Linked DNA regions of Bombyx mori. The protein of the gene in region 1 purifies or fractionates together with the protein of each later gene. This does not show direct contact. Links are inferred from orthologs where the notes say so. Each region holds a gene or a part of one and is shown in the gene's direction. Other genes may lie near its edges.

The links. Proteins that work in one complex are often made in the same cells at the same time.
Region 2: the proteins of UBX domain-containing protein 6 (region 1) and tether containing UBX domain for GLUT4 purify together in Homo sapiens (affinity purification with mass spectrometry; 4 studies listed by BioGRID and IntAct, counting the BioPlex papers as one, with this or other methods). This does not show direct contact. The link is inferred for Bombyx mori from reciprocal best matches to the Homo sapiens genes UBXN6 and ASPSCR1.

The regions. Positions count from the first base shown.
Region 1 is NC_085134.1:4,053,319-4,057,081, reverse strand, and holds the start of UBX domain-containing protein 6, read left to right. Parts: upstream 1-1,260; coding exon 1,261-1,506; exon of another isoform or gene 1,507-1,507; intron 1,508-1,978; coding exon 1,979-2,109; intron 2,110-2,521; coding exon 2,522-2,663; intron 2,664-3,763. Other genes in the region: uncharacterized protein LOC134198725, read left to right, coding at 297-615, 1,180-1,259. UniProt on the Homo sapiens protein: May negatively regulate the ATPase activity of VCP, an ATP-driven segregase that associates with different cofactors to control a wide variety of cellular processes.
Region 2 is NC_085117.1:12,221,858-12,224,632, forward strand, and holds the end of tether containing UBX domain for GLUT4, read left to right. Parts: intron 1-1,166; coding exon 1,167-1,332; intron 1,333-1,676; coding exon 1,677-1,860; intron 1,861-1,989; coding exon 1,990-2,089; 3' UTR 2,090-2,239; downstream 2,240-2,775. Other genes in the region: zinc finger CCCH domain-containing protein 3, read right to left, coding at 2,332-2,775. UniProt on the Homo sapiens protein: Tethering protein that sequesters GLUT4-containing vesicles in the cytoplasm in the absence of insulin. Modulates the amount of GLUT4 that is available at the cell surface. Enhances VCP methylation catalyzed by VCPKMT.

The DNA.
Region 1 (3,763 bases):
ATTTGAAATAAATAAAATTGTTCATATATCGAATTGAATTTAGAATCGATTTTATTTTTTGGTTAGTAATTTGGAATTTTTCTCGGAGCTCCTAGAATTGATGTTCCATTTGTAACACCTATCACAAACATCAACTGTCATAATGACAAATTGACAATTGTGGAATTTGACAAAAGGCCAACCAAAGGGTATGCATATATTAAGTGTATAATCTATGGGGTATGCAATTTTCAATATGACCGTGGAAATTTAACAATTTTCCTTTATGTAGGTAATTTATAAAGAAAACCAATGTAATGTCCGTTTTCGACAACGCTGTTTTTAATAACACTCTATACGAAGCTCTGTATCTTCAAATCGAGGATACTTTGTCTTTTGCAAAAGACTTCTTTGAATCGTGTTTTTCATCACTTCCTATCGATAATTTTCCCAAATCGTTCTTAAATCTAGATCAATTCACGTTTTACGGTGAACTAGCGGAAGCCTTTTATTTTAATGAGTTTCAAATACTATTATTAAAAACGTTTCTATTGATATTGTTTATAACTTTATTGCTGATTTGTCTGTCGTGGCGAGTGTACGGTAAAAGAATTTCCGAGAGGTTCATGAAACCGGGTGAGTCATGTTATTATTGTTTTTTAATAAAGGATCGCTGGATCATTGAACTTTACGGTCCAATTATAGAAATAATAATTGAACAGTACTTAAAAATTTCGCACATTCTACTTTATAATTATTACATGTCGCTCAAATTATGCTCCTCTTTTATTATAATAACAATAATATTTACATTATAAAGCAGTACAACAATATAACTCAAAGAAAATGTATATTCATAATTTATCAGATAACTGTGATGCTTTGTGCATTGTTGTCATTTGAGATTTATGACATAGCACCACCTATCCGCAATAGATGTCACTTGAGCTACCTCAACACTATTCATGGGATAGGACAGATGTTTCAAAGATGTTTAGCGACAGTTACAGTGGAATGAGGTCTTGCTGGCTAAGTGAAAAATGATGATAAATTTAAATTGGTACAATATACAGATTTTTTTCACAATCATACTCTATATTTATATATATAAGTATATAATCTATAAGATGTCTCAAATTTTAAAATATAGGTATCAATATTAAATAAAATTTGTTTTTAACATATAATAAACTTATACAGCTACATCAGCCACAATAGAACAACTCAAAGAGAGTGTATCAAAACTGAAGCTACCTAAAGAGCACACTCCAAGAATTTAAAATGGCAGACAAGATAAAAAAGTTCTTCCAGAAGAAGAAAGTCGATGCAAAATTCAAATTGGCCGGTCGAGGTCATAAATTGACTGAGTCAACGACAAGCAGTCACGATTCTGTGAAAAAAGACGTCCCAGTTGTTAAAAGATCAGGGCTTTCAGAGGAAAGCAAAGTTGCAGCTGAGGCTGCTTTAGCTAGACTCAATCAGAAGAGAGAAAACCCAGGCTTTAATACATCATTAGCTGCTATCCAGGTACATATTAATTTTCCTACAAAGATATTTTTAAAGAATGTGCTTTCTTGATGAAACGTGTTTCCTGTTTTTATACTGATAAGCTTAAGGTCAAAATAAACTTAAGTTAGTTGTAAGTTTAAATGAAGGGAAATGAAGTACAGCAGAGTTCCATTAGTATGTTTTATCTTTCTAATTTTACTTATAGTAAAAATGCAAAGAAAAATGCCTCCTTCAGGATAAAAGATTAGTTGTAAATGTATTTCTATATACTATAATATATAAATCTACAGTGATTTTTGCGGATGTTCCATTATAACTACTGAACCATGCATCCGATTGAATTGAAACTTGGTATACATGTAGAAAATACATGGTCTTAATGGATAGGCTGATATTTATATGAGTGTTAGACTTCCTGCACTCAATTTTAAATGCCTAGCGAAGCGGATAGGTACAACTAGTATATTTATAAAAAAACTATATTTCATAGGCGCAAGTAAGGAAAGAATTAGAAAATGAAAAGGCATCTAGTTCAGAAGCTACACCACCAGTCGAGGCACAAAAGAGCTTCACTGAAGAGGATTTACCGAAGAATTTTGCCGCAAGTGGTGTTTATTTCAAGTAATACTGAAGTTTTTTTTACACATATAATATGATATGCACACGATTATGTACTGTAAGAAGACATTCAGTTAATGCCTATAGGCATGAGTTATATGCATCAGCATTTTATAAAAATAATGACATATTGGTAACATTAGTCTAAACCAAAAATATTATCATTTGTGTATCTTTTTACATTGTTGACAAAATCAATGGACATAGAACATAACATAGAACTGCTGTAATAGCCTTGAGAGTCTTCGTGCCGCCTTCTCAAAGTGGTGCAGCGATGCCGACTGTAGATACTTACTGAAGCAGACCTAAAAATCATTTATTACCTAAAAGTTTTATGTTCTTATGCAGCAAGGTTTGCATACAATCTCGAGCAAATTTAATTTAGTAACGTTTTTTATTAAAATTACTTCCACAGGTGTCCTATTATAAGCAACGATATATTACCCCGTGATGAGTGGAAAAAGAATATCAAAACTTTCCTTTACGAGCAACTTGAGGAGGAGAGAGGGCTGACTGCGTGTCTTATAATACAATCATGTAATAATAATAGAGAAAAAGTAAGTGTATATTATCTATTATCTATATTATCTAAATTCTCAACAGTAGACCCTTTTTTTTATGATTGAAGGATCACTGGTGGCCCGGAGGCCTTTCCAGTTTCACCAGGCCAGGTGGGCGAGCAAAGGCTCAGCCAGGAGGGGTGGGATTTGCTAACAGCTATCCGAGCACCTCCGAAGGAGACCTAACAGCTCAAGAGCAGCTGCTTCGCGAATGAATCTACTACCGGATCGGAATCGCGACCCGCTGAGAAGATCCGGCGAGAAACTCAGCGAGCTGATTCATGGCTTAGGTTGCACGGCGAACTCTTTGTCGAGTTCGACGAGTACGGTTACCGGGGTCCCTAAGCCTGCTCCTAGTGTTCGAGCTGAAGGCGTCTAATGCAAAGGTTATTGGATCTGATGGATCCGTAAGGACGTGTCTAGGGCGTCGACGGTGACTGGCTCCTGCGTGATCAGGATTCGGGGGAGTAGTAGTCAGCGGCGGCAACGATAATGCGATTATCATGACGCATAGTAGACCCTAAGATTAACTCAAGTAAAATAGGAGATTAACTCTAGTAAAATAGGGTACTTTGTGTAGAATAACTCATTCACAACAATAGTTAGCTTGTTTAACTGTTTAAAATTCCAAGTATACAGTAAAATTTATTTAGAAATGTTCTAAATAGCTACAAGGATTTTGAGTAATGCACGTACAACATTATGTGTTGATTGTATGAATTGAGACTATTCTACACCTTCTTTTTTAAAAGAAGTTGTAGAATTCTAAATTTAAACTCATCTCATGTTTTTAGTGATCTTTCATGATTGCCAAAGCTTAAACTATTACAATGATAGAAAGAATATTCTCTTGGGACCTAATTATTTATTTTTGGAAGTAACAATTACCTGAATCACATGAGACTGTGGGAGCATTGACCTGTTTCATCATCAGATTTTTTATTGTTTCACATTATGCTGTAATTTTTTTTCCATTGTGTTACATATGCTGTAACACGAAAAACTTTGATTATTAAACATTATCAATCCAGATTTTGTAAATATCTGTCTCAGATATAATCATGAACTTTGCAAACTATATGTGAGATATTCTCATC
Region 2 (2,775 bases), on another chromosome or scaffold:
ACACGACGTAATCAAATGACTTGTATTTTTAACCATTTTACTGCCACGTGAGTCACCGATGCCCTACGCGGCGCACTGAAGTTAATTGTGTCGATTTCTGTTACTAAGCGCCTGGATTGTTCTTTCCAAAGAAAATGTATCGCATTATCACTATTTATTGAAAACAACCCTCGTATGTAGGTACGTCGAATTCCAACACTTAAATAAATATGCCCATTACGACTTGATTAAACGACGTGGTATTTCCTTCGCTATTGTACACATAAAACCACCTTTATGGTAAATTTTAATTTGAATCTTCTTGTATATACAATATCTATTATTGGACAATTATGTTATTACTAGCTTTTGCCCGCGACTTCGTCCGCGTCGTATATATTTTTATATATATTTTTGATTAATAGAATGTTAAGGAGCTATTTAAGGTACCGAAATCACGCTTTTTAACCGAATTCAAAAGAGGAAGTTATCAGTTCGACCATCATTTTTTCAATTATGTAGGTATTTTCAGCGATTTCTCGAAAATGCTTGAACCGATTCTGATAATTCTTTTTTCTTTTTTTTTGTTCGAAAGAGTAGACTTTCCGAATGGTCCTGTAATCATCAAGATCTGATGATGGGGTCCTGGAGAAATCCAGAAAAATCTGTAATTTTCAAAGTGATAGACTTGAAGTGATTTAGGTGTTTCAATGTTGTAATGAATAACGTATTTATTTGGATAAGGATTAATATATTCTTTATAAAAACACTTTCACAAAAAATGCTTTATTTTAGAACAAATTTGTTTAACACAAAAAACGTTATAGTGAGCCAACCTTAACTTATACACATATGCTGTCGCGAAATTTATTTAGATCTTTTAAAGGAGAAAAATTCTGTCATACATTAATTTAGCGAAACTTTAACCGTTTCCGCAGTGCATGCAGCGGAAGCTCTCAACAGGAAAAAAAAAACGATTTTGAAACATTCTTTATTGGTGCTCCGCTTGTATTGTTCGTTATGTTATATAGCCTTCCTCAATAAATGAGCTATCTAACACTGAATGATTTTTTCAAGTCGGACCAGTAGCTCCTGAGATTAGCGCGTTCAAACAAACAAACTCTTCAGCTTTATAATATTAATTAATATTTAAATAATAGTATAGATTATGAGTTTATAATTTTCAGACTACGGAAACAGTCAAATTAAACAAATATAAGAATGCCGTTGTTAGAATTCAATTTCCCGATCATATGATTCTACAAGGTATTTTCGCTCCTACTGACACAATCGAGGATGTCACAAATTTTCTGAAGGAACATTTAGCGCATCCTGAAAAACCATTTCATATCTGTGAGTCAAACGAATTTATTATTTTTTCAATTACAGCTTTTTTACTAAAAACGGTGGGTTGTTACCGTGATCTATAGACGGCACTGTCACGCGATCCATCGTGAGTCATGACGTTTAAGTCGCAATACTTAGGTTTCAAACTAGAACAGCTAAGTACGTCTCGGCAAAAATAGGAACATGGTACGGCTCATAATACGCCCTACCATTAGTAATTATGCAAATTCATTAATTATAGAGATCATTTGAACACGTGACACATGTTTATGTAGAAAAATTGTACCTACCCTCTCTGTTAAATAATTGGTTTCATTCTGAAAAAAAAATTGTGAATATTATCTTTTCAGTTACAACACCTCTAAAAGAAACATTAGAACCAAAGATGACTTTGCTTGAAGCCAGGTTTGTGCCATGTGTGCATATGCATTTCAAATGGTTGGAAGAGAATCCAGATTCCTTATACTTGAAAAAAGAAATATATTCCAACACTACTACTAGTGATGCTGCTAGTATTTTAGCTTCAAAATATCGGTAAGATTTATTTTACTAAGGAATGTAATGCAATGTAAAAAAATGTAAGGAATACTCGACAAATCCCATCTTACTTCAAAGTGTCAAATTAGAAGTGAAGCACATTGTTTAATACTTGACTAATTACAGGGCTCCGAGTAGGAGAAAGTTGGAAGAAATACACAACTCGCACACGAACTCCCCAACTACATCTAAAAGCAGTAAAGTTCCGAAATGGTTCAAGAATTAAATAACTGTATCAGGTAGAAGCATCTCGCTGCTTTTAAATAATGGAAATACTTTAGTACTGATTAGATGGCTTTAAAATAAATAATTTGAAAATAAAATTCAACTGTTGCAAAATATTTTTATTCAAGATTAAACGATTATTAGGTATTTACATTGAAGTTCACTAAATTATTTCACCATAATATTAATTATAATTAATAATAATTATTATTAGTTACATAGTAATAAAATTAACAGTGAGTTTCACTCAAACTGAATGAATGACGGCAGATTTCCTAGCTTACATCGAATCGGTTTTATTACGCCACAATCTGCTTTGGTATCTTCGAAGTTTGGTTTAATGTCCCGATAGTATCTGCAATCCATATTTCTTTCATTTTGACTTTCTTCAACACTTTCATTCTTATTTGGTTTTTCCGTATGTTGATTTTTTACTTTTAACAATGTTATTTGTTTTGTCCTCATCAATCGTTTTTTTGTTTGATTGGTAATATTTACATGTCTATATTCACATTTTGTTCCTCTTTCGCAATATCCCTTAAGAAAATCTGAGCACAGTTTAGAGTTTTTATTTAATTTCACATGTAAATAGGGACAATTTTCTTTAGTGCACATTCCCTTAAGATAAAAATAGCATGTAGGCATCTTCTCACTTGTTATATCGTGAGATAATAGACAAGTATCCTC